Linked DNA regions of Drosophila melanogaster. The protein of the gene in region 2 purifies or fractionates together with the protein of the main gene of each other region. This does not show direct contact. Each region holds a gene or a part of one and is shown on either strand. Other genes may lie near its edges. The genes, in order: Prx6c, Gdi, Rab3 and GstE6.

Evidence for each region.
Region 1: the proteins of Gdi (region 2) and Prx6c purify together in Drosophila melanogaster (affinity purification with mass spectrometry, with the first as the bait; one large-scale study listed by BioGRID). This does not show direct contact.
Region 3: the proteins of Gdi (region 2) and Rab3 purify together in Drosophila melanogaster (affinity purification with mass spectrometry, with the first as the bait; one large-scale study listed by BioGRID). This does not show direct contact.
Region 4: the proteins of Gdi (region 2) and GstE6 purify together in Drosophila melanogaster (affinity purification with mass spectrometry, with the first as the bait; one large-scale study listed by BioGRID). This does not show direct contact.

What each region holds. Positions count from the first base shown.
Region 1 is NT_033778.4:10,416,959-10,420,319, forward strand, and holds Prx6c (peroxiredoxin 6c), read left to right. Parts: upstream 1-1,759; 5' UTR 1,760-1,846; coding exon 1,847-1,929; intron 1,930-1,991; coding exon 1,992-2,366; intron 2,367-2,429; coding exon 2,430-2,505; intron 2,506-2,568; coding exon 2,569-2,697; 3' UTR 2,698-2,803; downstream 2,804-3,361.
Region 2 is NT_033779.5:9,490,667-9,496,590, reverse strand, and holds Gdi (GDP dissociation inhibitor), read left to right. Parts: upstream 1-1,714; 5' UTR 1,715-1,975; coding exon 1,976-2,369; intron 2,370-3,487; coding exon 3,488-3,963; intron 3,964-4,045; coding exon 4,046-4,507; 3' UTR 4,508-5,415; downstream 5,416-5,924.
Region 3 is NT_033778.4:10,726,186-10,731,082, forward strand, and holds the start of Rab3 (Rab3), read right to left. Parts: upstream 3,019-4,897; 5' UTR 2,420-3,018; intron 1,088-2,419; exon of another isoform or gene 875-1,087; coding exon of another isoform or gene 1-874. Other genes in the region: CAH13 (carbonic anhydrase 13), read left to right, coding at 1-874; Daao1 (D-amino acid oxidase 1), read right to left, coding at 3,454-4,003, 4,073-4,218, 4,300-4,423, 4,489-4,676. UniProt on the Drosophila melanogaster protein: Involved in exocytosis by regulating a late step in synaptic vesicle fusion. Could play a role in neurotransmitter release by regulating membrane flow in the nerve terminal.
Region 4 is NT_033778.4:18,404,273-18,407,285, forward strand, and holds GstE6 (glutathione S transferase E6), read left to right. Parts: upstream 1-1,738; 5' UTR 1,739-1,769; coding exon 1,770-2,438; 3' UTR 2,439-2,489; downstream 2,490-3,013. Other genes in the region: GstE5 (glutathione S transferase E5), read left to right, coding at 362-1,030; GstE7 (glutathione S transferase E7), read left to right, coding at 2,683-3,013.

The DNA.
Region 1 (3,361 bases), on a different chromosome or scaffold from region 2:
GCTCAGCTACCGCACGCGCGCATCGCTAAATTTGAACTGAGCCGGAGCGCCAAAAAGCAAAGCAAAGCGAAAGCAAAGAAGGAAAGCAGAAAGGAAAACATGCGGCGTGGGCGATTGCGGTGCTTATCAAAATCAGCTGTTCGGAAGCTGACTTCAAGCGTTAGCTTTCAGGCGCAAAAGCTCTTCCTACAGTCACCGATGCGAAAATAGAATAGCTTTTGGAACACTAATATCAGTCTCAAGTTGAGACTCTCAGCCAAAATATTGGTTGACTTACATTTGTAAGCCATTTTGTTAATGCATCAAGCTGGTAAGCAAAATCGTCTGCTGGGGCATACTTTCAGGCGAAAACGAATATTTTTATACATCCTTTTGGCGGCGGGTTTCTTTCTGATGTTTTTTTAAATGTAACATATTTATAAGGATTAATATCAACGATATGCGCGGCCAAATTGAATTCTTGCGGCTATAAGTGAAAATCCTCATAAGTTTTAATTAAGAGAGGTAGTCAAAAAGAAACACATTTTCTTACATTGTTGTTATTGTTTTGTTCTTATTATTAGGGTTGTTTTTTAAACAAGATAATTTGTGAGCTTAAATAAGCTGGGTTACAAAATATCGAATATTTTTAAACTAATTTTATTAATTGTTATTAATAAGTAGGTCATTAAATTTTTAACGATTAAAACAAATTCTATTTTCGGTATCACAAAACTGATAAGTAATGGAAAATTACTACAAAACGTTTATTATAGAGACGAAGGTTTCTGAATTCTTAGATTAGACCTTATAACTAGCACCCTCTTACGAATGTACTAGTAACTTAGGAAATACGATCGAGCTATTGGAAGTGAATCCAATTTTGTTAAAGATAACCCACCTCTAAATAAATTTAACACTTGCTGCATTTTGAATATCCATGATGACTATATCTTTTATTTTAATTTCAACCATCTGAATCCCATTTGGGTACTGTCTTCTGAGTTAGCGATCTGCCCATCCGACTTTCCAAAACCCATTCGAACTATTTGTGTGTTTTACTGAAAAAAAAACCTATGCTGGTGTGCTTAATATTCGATAGACCCACGCACACAGTCTCATGATTTCACTCGCTCTTCACTTTCAATTGGAGGCTCGTTTTGTGTACGTGAACGGGAGAGCCGTGCGATCTATGGAAGTGTGCGATTTTTGGAGGCACTCACAAATACCATCACACTGCTCGGCGCTCTCTTGCTCTCAATATCCGCCTATCGATGTGGCTGTATGTTTGCAGGTGTTGGTGCTTCGCCTCTATTTACCAATACCATTTAACATTTAAATGCTCTCTGGCTCTCTGTTTATGTTTGGAACCGGCTTATCTGTCAGCTGGACCAGATCAGCTGTTTGGATGTTAGATGCTAAAGGAGTTTGCGCCTATTGGACTTTTAAAATGAGATTAATGAAGAACCAAATAAGGAAAACAGTACTTTATTCTAAGATACTTCCAGAAGCATTTCGTCTCAAAGTCCAAATTATGTACCACGTTTTGTAGAGGCCCCTGTCGAGTTTCACACACATGACACCATGCTCAAGGTTTCCCACTCCCCCCACCAAAGCAAACTACTCCACAATCTGTTCAGTATTGTTTTATAATCTGTTCACAGAATAATATACTACAAACAAACACGCGCGTTGAGGGAGCGCCCATTTCCTATCTCTATCGCACCCGCTATTTACGTCGATCACGTTGGGTATAAAAGACAGCCAGCTCTCCCAGTCAGTATTCAGTAAGCAACAAGTGTGCGAGCTAAAAGCAGCTACCAGTTGAGCAACTAAGTTTTTTTGAAACTAATAATCAAACAGCAAGATGCGTTTGGGACAGACCGTACCTAACTTCGAGGCCGACACAACCAAGGGGCCCATTAAATTCCACGAGTGGCAGGGCAACTCGTAAGTGCCATCAAACCCTTTTTCTCTGATCGAATCTTACCAATTCTTCTTCGGATCGCCAGCTGGGTGGTGCTCTTCTCTCACCCCGCCGACTTTACTCCCGTCTGCACCACTGAGCTGGGCAGGATTGCGGTGCACCAGCCGGAGTTTGCCAAGCGGAACACCAAGTGCCTGGCACATTCCGTTGACGCATTGAACTCGCACGTGGACTGGGTGAACGACATCAAGAGCTATTGCCTGGACATTCCCGGGGACTTCCCCTACCCGATCATCGCCGACCCTACTCGCGACCTGGCCGTCAGCCTGGGCATGCTCGACGAGGAGCAGAAGAAGGATCCCGAGGTGGGCAAGACCATCCGCGCCCTGTTCATCATCAGTCCGGACCATAAGGTGCGCCTCTCCATGTTCTACCCCATGTCCACTGGTCGCAACGTTGAGTAAGTACCTCTTTCGGGCTACAACTATTGTTAATCTCAACTGACGATCCTTTAATCTTACAGCGAGATTCTGAGGACCATTGACTCCCTCCAGCTGACTGATCGCCTCAAGGTGGTGGCCACTCCCGCCAACTGGACCGTAAGTTTTTCTACCCACTTAATGCGAACTGTTCCGAACTAATTAATTCTGTTTCATAAACAGCCTGGCACTAAGGTCATGATCCTGCCCACTGTCACCGATGAAGAGGCTCATAAACTCTTCCCCAAGGGATTTGATAAGGTATCCATGCCGTCTGGAGTAAACTACGTCCGCACCACTGACAACTACTGACACAAAACCGTTCCCCATTTGTGATCCATTCAATAATGTGCCGTATTTCCTGACATATACTATATACTATGTGCAGTTCATTTATTTAATAAAAAATTATTTTAACAAAATATCCAAACTATTTTAATTGATTTAATGAAAGAAATTTTTGGAGAATAATGTAATCCAATCAGAATTAGGGGAGTTACTGCGATTTTGACGTTCTTTTAGATTGTATAATGTCTGTTTTTTATTTCCTTGCGGATGGTATAGTGATTTTAATCTATTGATGTATTTCTATTGCAGTTGGTAAATAAGTCAAAACTGTATAATATATACGATGGAATAATAGTGAAAATGAGATGGTGTACCTTTTTTGACAAATTATTTGGTTTTTTATTTTATCAAAATCGTAGTGTTCTTATTCGGAATGCATCAGTTTTTAAAACCATTAGTCGTAGAGTAAAAGGATATACTGGGATTTCTTAAAAAGCATAAAACAAATAAAATGATGCCTTATCGACCATATGAAGTATATAAATTCTTGATCATGATCAATATCCGAGTCGAGGCTGAGCTGTCCGTCTGCATGAACGCCTTTGAAATTTATTCATTTTATTATACATATGTTGAACTTTCTCGTTCGCACTCCCACTAGCTAATTAAAGAGTATCTGATAGTCGAG
Region 2 (5,924 bases):
TGTTTGAATCTATTTGCCTTTTATCAAATGCCGGTAAGACAAAGAGAGAGAGAGATAGAAGGGGAAAGAGGATGGAGAAGCCAGAACGATCGGAGGCTGTGTGAATGAGTGAGCGAGATGGATGCGAGCAGGTAAAAAACCCGTCGTATATTTTGGGAGGATGGGGGCCGAGGGCGGTGGGCGGGGCAGTTGGTCTGCAACGCCTAACTGGTTCTTGGCAACCAACTTGTTTTTTCTGTAGATTGCCGCCGTCTGTGCTTTATTATGTTTTTTCCCTCCGACTTTATGCCTGTGCAATTTTTAATATGGCAACTTGATTTAAACGAAAAACTTACCCAATAAAATCGTAGACGTGGATTTATGCTTGTTTTTCGATCAATTCAATTGCCTGCGGTTATTTTATCCTTGCCTTCGTGGGGGTTTTGTTTTATATTTTTTGTTTGAAACTATTTTTACACGGGGATGAAAACAACTTTTCAGCATGGCAACAATACAAAAATGTTGCAGCACATTCAAAGCAACAACAAGAACAACAGGGAGGTAACATATGATAACCGAGGTCAGGCGGAAAGTGTGAGCGGGACAGGAGATTATCTTTTTGTTTTCTATTTTGTATGTTTCCTCAGCGAAGGAATTACAATAAATAATTATTTCCCAAAGACTTTATTTCACTTGGAGCACAGCATAAAAAATCCCTGAGCCGCTCACTTTTTCACTTCCTTTTGTTGGGGTTTTCGTCTTTTTTTTCGAACTTATTTTTTGCCACGAACTCGAGGTTTGGTTTGTTGTTGTTGCTAAGAATTTCAATACAATTATGGCCCAAATAGCATTTTCACTTTTCCACACAAGCACGCAGCCACCGCACGCACACACACTCACACAAGTACACAGTTGTTTGGCTCCGTTTTAAATGAAAATATAATCAAACATTTACATTGCCGTGTGTTTTTGCTCCACGAAAATGTATGATTATGTATGATTAGTTTTCCTTGCTCGCTGCACGCGCGAAAATCCGACGAAACAAAGAAACAAGAAACGACGCGAAGAGAACGTAACAACCTAAATAAACCCGATACAAAAATCGCGTCCGAATCGGCTCGTCGTTTCAACCAAAATCACCAGTAAAACTTTGCAGAGGCTTCGGGATGATGTGGCCAGACTCGCTAACTGTGCTAACAGCTGTAAGAAGAATGCCCCTAGTTTCGGAATAAATGTCTATCGTGTCTCCGATAATAAATGTACGCAAATGTTGGTTTTCTTGAAATTATTACATACATTGAAAAGTCTAATTGCTTATATTGTATTCTCTTTAAAATAAAAAGTAATGAACGAATGCGTGAGATATGATATAAATAGAGATCTCCAGTAACTTAAAACTCGATAGGTAAACAGCGTTCAAATACTGTTTACAATAATTGCTGAATATCTTTTTATATTTTATATGATCGATCTGTGAATCCTCCGTTTTGTTATTTTATAATGTCTTGCTTTATGCAAGACCAACACATGCATTTAACAAATTTAAATTGCAACTATAAATTTGCGCGCGCGACATGCAGCCCTGAAATGTCAATAATCTAGGAAATAAACTTTTGCAAAATCATAATCAATTCAAAAATCTTGCACACACGTCTCTAAATCTTTCGTACATTAATGCTCTGTGTGCAAATTAAATATCTTATATGCTTGTTTGGTTATTTCCTTATTTCCATGTACAATTAGCAGCCGATAGCAACTCTTTCTCATGCAGCCCTGGGCATGTACGAAAACGTAACGTAACGTGACCAGCAAACGGCGTGACGGCAAACGGGCAGCGCAAAGCGGACGAGCGAAAGGCGAACGAGTAGAGAAAAATTATTGAGCGCAGAGAAAAGTCCACCAAATCGAACGTCGCAGCAAGTGAAAAGGGCGAAAACCGGATAAAAAAAATATATAAATTACTGTGATTGCAATATATAAATAAGTGCGATCCAATATGAATGAGGAATACGATGCGATTGTGCTAGGAACGGGCCTCAAGGAGTGCATCCTCAGCGGGATGCTGTCCGTGTCCGGCAAGAAGGTTTTGCATATTGATCGAAACAAGTACTACGGCGGCGAGTCCGCCTCGATAACGCCGCTGGAGGAGCTCTTCCAGCGCTACGGACTGGAGCCGCCCGGCGAACGATTTGGGCGTGGCCGCGACTGGAACGTGGACCTGATCCCCAAGTTCCTGATGGCCAATGGCCAGCTGGTCAAGCTGCTGATCCACACGGGCGTCACCCGCTATCTGGAGTTCAAGTCCATCGAGGGCAGCTACGTTTACAAGGGCGGCAAGATAGCCAAGGTGCCGGTGGACCAAAAGGAGGCCCTGGCATCCGATCTCATGGGTTCGTTAATAATGCTCTTTTAAGTCCCGTTGCCTTTTTGCTTGGCGGTGAGCCCCCCACGAAAAATTGTGCAAATTACCAGCTGTGCTTGTGTGTGTGCGTGGTTGTATGTATGTATTTTCGTACTCGACTGTTATCTGCTTCCCCTCTCTCGCCCGCACCACTCTCTTTCTCTTCTCTTCTTTGTCTGCCTTTTCACTCGCTGGCAAAGCTCTTGTTGTTGTTATTCCCTTTTTTTTAATGTGACACGTATGTGTGTGCCGAAAAACAGTTGTTTTCTTCGCTCGCCAAAGAATTTCTACCAAAGTTTCCCCCACACATATCCATTTCCACACCATGTTTGTTGGCCCAACTATTATCGCCCTATTCCGATTGGAGTCGAAATTTTAATCGCTCTGCGCTGATTCATACACCTGCCGCTAATTGGTCGCCTCCATTTTACACCTGAATTTCGCTTTGTTTGAAATTTAAGTTTTTCCCTCTTCTTCGTGGCAGCAATGCAATTAGCTAAAACACGCTCTATTTATTTATGATTGGCTCTTGAATTTTTCCATTTCAATTTTTACTTAGTTTTTGCAACCAGGTTTTTGGCCAGGCGCATTGAACCCCCTTCACTTTACAGTGGAGATTGCCTATAAACGAAAACATTTCATGACTTTAGATGTACTACATTTTTTAATTTTTGTCTTTAATTATCAATAATTTGCATATAAAATAGAAATTTTCAATGAAAATGTGACTATTAGGTAGATTTTACTTCCGTTTGTAACAATACCTATTGGATGTCTCAATTTGCTAATTGAAAGTTAAACACCTTGTCCATGCTTCACTGTGTCCGCATTACACATATGCTCGGAATGACGTCATGGGGTGGCCAAGTGGTTTCTGATTGTTGGTGGTGTGTCCTCCGCCCCCTAAATTGAAGGTTTCCCACTGTAGTTGCGTGCTGTTGTCCCAGTGAGTGTCTGTATGTGAGTGTTTGTGGCATGCAAATGAAATGGAAACGGGAAACTTGAAACCCTCGGGCTCGTGCACTCCCTTTATATGCAGATCCTGAACCCCAAACTGACCAATATGGCATTATGGATATACATATATAAATGTGACTTTACTTGCAGGTATGTTCGAGAAGCGTCGCTTCCGGAACTTCCTCATCTACGTGCAGGATTTCCGAGAAGATGACCCCAAGACCTGGAAGGACTTTGACCCCACCAAGGCCAACATGCAGGGTCTGTACGACAAGTTCGGACTGGACAAGAACACGCAGGACTTCACCGGCCACGCCCTGGCCCTTTTCCGCGACGATGAGTATCTGAACGAGCCGGCCGTGAACACCATCCGGCGGATTAAGCTCTACTCCGATTCGCTGGCGCGTTACGGCAAGTCGCCCTACCTTTATCCCATGTACGGCCTGGGTGAGCTGCCCCAGGGATTCGCACGTCTGTCGGCCATCTACGGCGGCACCTACATGCTTGACAAGCCCATCGACGAGATTGTCCTCGGCGAGGGCGGCAAGGTGGTGGGAGTGCGCTCCGGCGAAGAGGTCGCCAAGTGCAAGCAGGTCTACTGCGATCCCAGCTACGTGCCCGAGAAGGTGAGATTCACAAAAGATTTGTGTAAACTAGCCTATTAGTCTTTTGGAAATAACCATGTATTACATTTCTTTTATGTGACAGGTGCGCAAGCGTGGCAAGGTGATTCGCTGCATTTGCATTCTGGACCATCCGGTGGCCAGCACCAAGGATGGTCTCTCCACGCAGATTATCATTCCACAAAAGCAGGTCGGCCGCAAGTCGGACATCTATGTGTCGCTTGTGAGCTCCACTCATCAGGTGGCCGCCAAGGGTTGGTTCGTGGGCATGGTCTCGACCACCGTTGAGACCGAGAACCCGGAGGTGGAGATCAAGCCTGGCTTGGACTTGCTGGAGCCGATCGCACAAAAGTTTGTAACCATTTCGGACTATTTGGAGCCGATCGATGATGGATCCGAGTCTCAAATCTTTATTTCGGAGTCTTACGATGCGACCACGCACTTTGAGACTACTTGCCTGGATGTGTTGAACATATTCAAGCGGGGCACTGGCGAGACGTTCGACTTCTCCAAGATCAAGCACGAGTTGGGTGACGAGGAGCAGTAAACGGGAATGAAGGCCTCATCTGGTTATGGTGCATTTGGACAGCTCAACATCAGCCACAAACATCGTAGATCGTCTCAGCGTCGTGGCCAAACCTTAAAAAAAAAAATACCCAAGATAAGAAAACCCAAAATAAAAGCCCAAAAAAACTAAAGAAAACCGAAAATCCAGAAATTGTATTACGAAAATGCTTTCCATCGAGAGATGAAGTTTTAGATGTGAAACGAATTGCTTGCTTCGCGCAATATTGGATATGCCTAGAAAATATATATATATATATACCAATATAACATAAATTATACAACATGCAGTCGCGTATATATGTACGTCTATATAAATGTATAACTAAGTGAGTGTTAGGCAACTAAATCAAATTCCACAGATTCAGCTTGTGACTCGAGCAAAAGCGCTAGACTCGACAAACACTCTCCCATTTCGCCGATAGGCCAGTCAGTCAGACGATTACGCTTGGACTTTAGTTGTACGAGTATATAATAAAGTATATATATATATATAAAATATGACATCGTATATATATATTATCTATGTATATTGCCCTTCTGCTTGGTTTTTCTTTCTTTTTTTTTTTTGTGATCCACCCAATTTGTGTGGCTGCCAAGGCTCCAAACGAAAGCATAACACATACCTATAAACACGACACAAACTCTTACACATGCATAGTGCAGCATTATAATTGTAATTGTAATCCCCAGAAAGAAATCGATGGTATTGAAAATGTAAAACAGTCGAAAAAGTTCATCGCAGCATATACCCAAAAATAATGCAATTGATCGAAGCGCGGCAAACGACATATAAAGAGAACAGAACCTAAGAAGTTTGTCAATGGTATAGAGAACTATGGTATTCCGCATTTTCAGAATTTACATTTTTAATAAAAATTAAAAAAATATAAACATTTTTTTTTTTATTTACTATTTTTATATTGAGGGATGTTATGTTTGCTTTCCTTTCCCCAAAAGTCTGGTTTCTTTTCGGATTAAGGAATCTTGTCCTGGAGTTTTTCCACCGACTCATTTTATTGAACGTTTTCAGTTTCCGGTTCCGTTCAAAATGTCACTTGAGTTTTATAGCTACCAGCTTTTTATATGTCCTGGAGCTTTTCACCTTTCACACAGACTCATTTAATTTGAGATTTTTAGTTCTGGTTCCAGCCAAAGTGGCACTGAGTTTTGACGTCTTCAGCTTTTGTAACAGCCAAATGGCGGCAGATTTAAACTACATCAGTATGCACTGCAGTCCACGTAGTGACGAAGCGCACCATAAGTGTGTGCCAAGGCGGCTACTATATACACACAGAGAAATGAAAATCTGCTGTTTGACAGATCCTGGAAGAATATGGAAAGGATTTAGACGTATTCTTTGAGGTGACTTAGGATGGTCTGGTCTGTAAAGGAAATGG
Region 3 (4,897 bases), on a different chromosome or scaffold from region 2:
TCCGTTCCTGGATCCCCTGGTGCAGAATTTGCGATTGGTTCAGAAGCCTGGAAAGCGTGTCCAGATTTCTCCATTTCCCATATCCTACTTGATGTATCAATTTCGATCTGGATTCTATTCCTACGGCGGTTCGCTGACCCATCCGCCCTGTTACCAGGGCACCGAATGGTTCATCTTTCCCGAATCCCTAGCCATTAGCGACTTTCAGCTGCGTCACTTTCGTTTGCTCCTAGGTCCGGATGGGATCTCGCCCATAGCCCGTAACAGCCGACCAGTCCAGCACATGGGCAATCGAGTTGTAAGCCTAAACTGCTTCTGCCCATACGATGCCGCCCAGTTGTCCAGAATGCATGTGGAGCTATGCCAGGCTCAAGCTCAGGAGGAGCACGAAGAGGAACGTATCGAGCAGGAGCAGCAATTGGAACTAGAGCGCGAACTGGAGCGGCAAAGGGAAAGCGACTTGAAAGCTCAGCAGGAGCAAGCAAGCGAGGCGGCCATCGCTGCTTCCGAGGATGAAGGTCAGCTAATTGAGACCATAGATACCACGACCATAATAACTAGTAGCAGCAACACTAGCATATGCATGACTACGCTGATGCGGAAGGATTCGCCTAGGCAACTGGAACAGCCATCTCAGATGCCTATGATGGCTCCCAATCAGGGTAACTTTTGCAATCCTGGCATTGTGATATTCAGCGGTGTCAATGAATCCAAGTCCAAGTGCGGCATCCATCAGGATACACCGGAGGAGCTAATGATCCATAACAGAGGAACGGGAAGAAACATGGGTGTACAGAATGGCTGCAAGGCCGATGCCTTTTGCGGCGTGGGCGATGGCGTCAACATCGGAATTCGCATGGAGCTGGTCGAGTAGCTAATGTGCTATTATCAACCTTTATGTCATCCATAGACACTCCATTTGTGGTCCATGCTGCACGAAGAACCGGTGGGGCTAGATGGTGCACATGAAACACCGGTCAAGGCCAACTGGTGGCCAACCGGAGTTCTCTCTGTGCCCGGAAGTGATTGAATCGCGTGCGTGTGGATTAAACAAGTTGCGTTTATATTTTCTAAAGCATAACCCCCCAATTCCCTTGACTTTTAATCCTTGGAGTAGGCGGGAGGGGTTGGCTTTAGCGGCCTGACTTGGGAAAGGACCCACTTGATTATCCCTGTCACGTCACTGGGAAAACTCAAAGCGAATTTCAGAGCTGAACGGCGGGTTGGTGGGCTGGTGGGCTGGTGCGGCCTTGAAAACTTTCAGCCTTGGCTTGGGCAAGTGACAACAGTCTCGGCTTACAGTTTGCCATTCGGGATGGTTGGCTGCCTGTTTTCCATATGCAATGAAGGCGGCGACATTGTGTCGATAATTTGTGTATATAGCCTGGTTCTCCTGGTTCCGTTTCCGCTCATCCTTATTTCCCCCGTCCAGAATCAGAAGTTGCGCAGCGGCAAAACGCTGTCAGATTGCTGATGAACGACTTGGTGTAGAAGGACCGAGTGCGCGCGTCATCGTCAAGGATTTTGCTGGCAAAAGGACAGGCTTCGCTCCTGTCAAGCCTCTTCAGGCCCAGAAATATCCTGGAGGGGCCCGAACCCAAACCCAAACCCAAACCCAAACGCAGACACCAAAGAGGGGCCGCAATAAGAGGTCTTCAACGGCAGACGGCCCTTATCACAGGCGCTGTGTGGAAATGTTTTTATCTGCTCGACTGCGTGTAATTATCGATTTTTCTGTTGTTTTCCCCCTGCGTGGGGGTGGCTGCCAGACCCTGCCCCCATTACCCACCCCCTTAACTGCTCTTTCATGTTTCAAATTTCCAATGATTTGGCAGCTGTTCAGCGGTCGGCAGCTGCGGGCTTGTTTAATTATTGATAAGAAACCCAATATTGGCCAAAACGAGAACTCAATCCTGCCTTAACGGTTCCAATTGGAAAAGTTTCAATTTAAGGTTTGTTGTCAAACGTAAATATTAGGCATGTGCATAAATACCGAGTTATCAATCAATGGGAATAAACAATTAACTCTTTCCTGGAAGTTGTAAAACTACATATGTATTATTTGGCCACATTCATATGTATGTATAGCCCATATCTATTGTCAATAAGATATGATACACTAAGCTGAAATCCATCAGAAGTTTTTTTGGAACTACTATAAAAGTAACATTGAGTTATTAAATACCTTTTAAATACTTTTAAAAAGTTGATGTGTAATCTTTATAATGTCAAAATCAATGAAGTTTAATGTAAAAATAATAAATTCCAACCAACGGCCTCATTATTTGACAATATGGAACTGATACTGCAAAGTTTTTGATGCGAAAACTCAGGTATTTTGGTTTTAGCTGGAACTAGTACCCCCATTCACCCATTTTGGTCCATCATGGCGGATACTTAATGTGTCAGATAAACTTACTCTTTCTTGAGGTTATTGCGGTTACAGTAGTATCTGCTGCTAATATCTCAGTTGCTGTTTATGATGGTGCTGCTGCAGATCCTGCTGTCACAAGAATATCCTGCTGTTTTCGATGTGTGGGTGAGAGGTACGCCGTGTTGTTGCTCGCACATACACACAAATCGATAATGGCAGCTCCTTTCGCTGAAGGGATAAGGAAAAGGACTCGACTCAGCCTTGGCACTGGACTGACATACGCCGCGATTTCACGTCGATTGATTCGTCGAGTTGTTTACGGTTACCCAATCAACTATTCACACGCCCGCGGACCCACTCGTCTGGCCAGAATTGAACTGACTCCGGCTGCAGTGGCTCAATTATTCAGCAAATGCAACGCACCAACTGTTCTACCTTTTTGCCTCGACACGTCGACACCAAAGGACACACAATTTTCAATTTTTTCTTCGCTCTCAGGCGGCGAATTGACTGGTGCGGCGAAAACGGGCCAGTTTTGTATACGTTTTCATAATTCAACTGTTTCAACCTGGCTGACTGGCTGGCTAACTGACTGACTGGATGACTGGCTGCTGCCCACACAATTTCCCTGCTGCTTTTCCTGCTGCTGAAAATCGATGGGTTTCCGTGCCTGGGGTGTCTGTGTGTGGGCGTAGCTTTCGCGGCGATTTCGGGCGAGCTTTCCATTCATGCGCCGGTCATGCGCACTTCGCACTTCCGCAGCCTTGTGGAGCACTGGCCCAGGGGTTCATTTGAATTTATTCGTGGGCGCGAATTTATTCGTTCACTTTGTGAACCCATGTTCTTATCCTGAAACAATATAGACCAAGGAACTCATAAAAACAGTAAATAAAATTTATAAGAATTGTTTCTTTAAATATTCTAAATATTCCTTCTTGAAACCTTTGGAACTGGCGCATATCGCAACCTTGAGAACTGCAATTAGTTTATTGCACAATAAAAAATCCAAATCAAATCTGGGTTCAAAGATTCTGAGTATAAAGAGTTTAATGACCAACAATTAACAACGATTTTACCACCTACAGTTTACTGTTTCCCGCTAGTAGATCGCGTACCAATCGAACTGCGTACATAGCCGTTCCAGGAGCCGTGGTCACACCGTAGCCGCCGTGGCCGTAGTTGTGGACTACCTTCAGCCGCCTGCCTTCCGGATTCGTGATCAGTTCTGGCTCCACCCGAACGACGGAGCGGTGTGGCCGCAGACCAACACATTCCCGCACGATCTCCGCTTTCCGGAGACTGGGCAGCAAATCGTAGCAACGCTCTCGAATGGCCATGCTATCGTATTTGCACCACTCGGTGTTGTAGCTGTCGAATTGGCGACATCCTCCCAGGGTCACAGTCTCAAATCCGGGAAGAACGTAGGTGTCGTAATCGCCGTAGAAAGCCGTCTTTACCCAGGGAGCACGCACTTTGAGCACTTGACCCCGAATGGGAACCAAGTGCTGGTCCCCACACAACTCCTTGGCTCCCATTCCGGTGCAGTTAAGGAGCAAGTCAATGTTCTGCGGCACTTCGAAAAAGCTGTTCACATGCTGACGGACAACCTCTCCTCCGTTCTCCAGGAATCTACAATATGTTAATATTTACGATTATTTTCAAATTGTTTCTCTTTCATATCATAAAACAGCTACTCACTTTTTAGTGGCATAGGGCAAGAAGAGGCGGCTTTCCGTTAGGCATGTGGTGAAGAAGGATCCGTACTTCCAGCCGCCGTTGCATAGCCTCAGTTCCTCCTCGGTGGCTCTTCGGTAGACGGGCAATAGTTTCTCAATAAAGTGGTTCTAAGGCAGCCAACAACAAAGTTAATCGAATTAAGCCGATGAAGATAAGAATCACTGATTGTCGACTGCCCGGCAACGTACCCGTACGATGGAGGGGGAGGTGCGGGAGTAAATATAGCCGGATAATTGGCACACGCCCGCCAGAGGAGCCTCCTTGGAGCGACGCAGCTCATCCCAGTAGTTGAAGGCATCGGTCATCCATTGTCTACGATGAAAAGAAAAGTCGTTAGATGCACAACAGGTGTGTTTGAATCCCAAACAGATTCTCACTGCGTAATTTTCTGGGTGGGGCCCATAAAGCTGGTTCCAGGTCGGAAAATTCCAGCCGCCACATAGCTGACGGTGTCCTCGTTAAACCGATCCGCAATCACGGAAACCCTTGCTGTGGGAAACTCCTTCTGGAGTTCTAAGGCGGTCGTAAGACCAATGATACCGCTTCCCAAGACTCCGAAATGCATTCTGGATCCGCTTTGAGTTGATACCCAATCCCAATGGAAGGCGATTTGGTACTGAGCATGCTTTTAAAGGTGCTTGCGAAGCTGGCTGCGTCTTATCAGCTCTTATCAAATCCGCTCTCCATCGCGCCTCCAAAGATGAGATAAACTTTACTGCTCTCTTTTAAAATTGCAATAAACACTTTTTCCGTTGTTTTTATTATGGTTGCAAACAGTGCTGCACG
Region 4 (3,013 bases), on a different chromosome or scaffold from region 2:
TGTTATCAACAATCACGAAAGTATTATTTGAGTGAGTCAGTTCTAGATTGTTTTCACGAAAGTACTTAAACAATTTCGATTATCGTTCGACGAACCGTTAGACCGTATCAAATGATTGCATAATTTAAGCAGAACAGTATCTACAGAATTTGTAATTACACAAATTTTTAATGTTTCATTGAAACTTATGTTATTCTCTACACGAATCAACTCTTAAAGGACCAATCAACAAGAACCAACAAAAATTCTCTTAGAAATGTCTCTTAGCCATGCTCTCTTAACCTTTCCATTTGGTAACAACATTTGTACGCGCTCGATCCCAAGAATCAGTCAGTAGAGAACGTTAACTCAAAGTGCAAACATGGTCAAGTTAACTCTATATGGTGTGAATCCCAGTCCACCAGTTCGTGCCGTCAAACTCACTCTGGCTGCCCTCCAGCTGCCCTATGAGTTTGTAAACGTTAATATTTCGGGTCAGGAGCAGCTTTCTGAGGAATATCTAAAAAAGAATCCAGAGCACACGGTGCCAACACTGGAGGATGATGGTAACTACATTTGGGACTCGCATGCCATTATCGCGTATCTGGTGTCCAAATATGCAGATTCGGATGCCCTGTATCCCAGAGATCTGCTCCAGCGAGCTGTGGTGGATCAACGACTGCACTTCGAGACAGGAGTGGTTTTCGCCAATGGCATTAAGGCCATTACCAAGCCGTTATTCTTTAATGGCCTGAACAGGATTCCCAAGGAACGCTACGATGCCATTGTCGAGATCTATGACTTTGTGGAGACCTTCCTCGCTGGACATGATTACATTGCTGGGGATCAGTTGACCATTGCCGATTTTAGCCTGATCTCGTCGATTACCTCGCTGGTGGCGTTCGTGGAGATCGATAGGTTGAAATATCCCAGGATCATCGAATGGGTCAGGCGTTTGGAGAAGCTGCCTTACTACGAGGAGGCCAATGCGAAGGGAGCCCGGGAGTTGGAGACCATTCTAAAGTCCACTAATTTCACCTTTGCAACCTAGAGTTCTGAAATTATAATAAATAATTTGGAAACTTGTAAATATTGCGGTTTTTTATCTCTTTATATTTTAGATTTAAGAGAAATATCGCTGTAGGAAACAAGAGAACTTAGTTAGTTCCATTAAAGTAGCAAGAGAATGAAATGTGTATTAAGTACACAGAGAACCTATTACAGAATGTCGCTACATACATAGATAATATATATATTCTTGCCGGCAACAAACATTTTCGAGGGCTTTCCATTTTATTAACCTCTGTCAGCATGACTTGTATTTTCTGCCCGAGTACTGTGTAATCATTTTCACATATGATAAGCGGTTATCACAGAATACTTGTTGTTCTATGTTTGTGATTCATATAGTGCTCTCATATGTTCGCGCTAAAATACTTTTAATCAGTTTTTTTTTTATTTTAGATGTTGGGATAGGTTAAAAATAAACATAAAAAGAAAAGTAAAGTGAGTTCAAAAGAGTAGGAGGATACTTAAAAATTTGGGTTTGTATGACCAAAGACACTAGAATATTCTAGTATGACAAAGATATACATATGTATGCATGATTAGACATATATTCACATTCATACATATTATTATTGACTTGTAAAGTGCAGTAAATATAGAGATTTTTTCAAGTACACGGAATCTCTCTTAAATTTTCTCTTTCATTGATCCCAAGTTTTGTATATTATATTAGTTATTCGGCAGTTATGGGTTAGTTTGAAAAGAGACCCCACAGCGACAAGATGGTGAAATTGACTTTATACGGTTTGGACCCCAGTCCCCCAGTTCGCGCTGTTAAGCTTACTTTGGCCGCTCTAAACCTAACCTACGAATATGTAAACGTTGACATTGTGGCTCGTGCCCAACTTTCACCGGAATATCTGGAGAAGAATCCACAGCATACGGTGCCCACCCTGGAGGATGACGGTCACTACATCTGGGATTCGCATGCCATTATTGCCTATTTGGTCTCGAAATATGCCGATTCCGATGCCCTATACCCGAAAGATCCTCTCAAGCGGGCTGTTGTGGATCAGCGGCTGCACTTTGAATCCGGAGTGGTCTTTGCCAATGGCATAAGGAGCATATCGAAGTCAGTGCTCTTCCAGGGACAGACGAAAGTACCCAAGGAGCGATACGATGCCATTATCGAGATCTACGATTTTGTGGAAACTTTTCTCAAGGGACAGGATTACATTGCTGGCAATCAACTGACCATTGCGGATTTCAGTCTCGTTTCATCGGTGGCCTCCCTTGAGGCCTTCGTGGCCTTGGATACGACTAAGTATCCCAGGATCGGTGCTTGGATCAAAAAGCTGGAACAGCTTCCATACTACGAGGAAGCCAATGGCAAGGGCGTCCGCCAGTTGGTGGCCATTTTCAAGAAGACCAATTTCACATTCGAAGCATGATATTATTTTACAGTTTATATAGTCACAATAAATAATTGCTTAGAAAACTCTAGAGCTTTTGAATTTTTGTGGTGAAATAATTGATTTGGACACAAATGAATAGAAGAGGCGAGAGCAAAAACCTAACTGACTTTCTTATCTACTGCTCTCGCTTCTCTTAATTACTCTCTTTCGAAATTCTATAAATATAGTGACTCTTCGCTGTTGACGTTTAGTAATAGACGAGACTCTACCCAGCGACAAGATGCCCAAATTGATACTGTACGGCTTGGAGGCAAGTCCACCAGTTCGTGCCGTCAAATTGACCTTGGCTGCCCTGGAGGTTCCCTACGAATTCGTGGAGGTAAACACTCGGGCCAAGGAAAACTTCTCTGAGGAGTTTCTGAAGAAGAATCCACAGCACACGGTGCCCACGTTGGAGGACGATGGACATTATATCTGGGACTCACATGCCATTATTGCCTATCTGGTGTCCAAATACGGCAAAACGGACAGTCTCTATCCGAAAGATCTCCTCCAGCGTGCTGTCGTGGATCAGCGATTGCATTTCGAGTCCGGAGTGATCTTCGCTAATG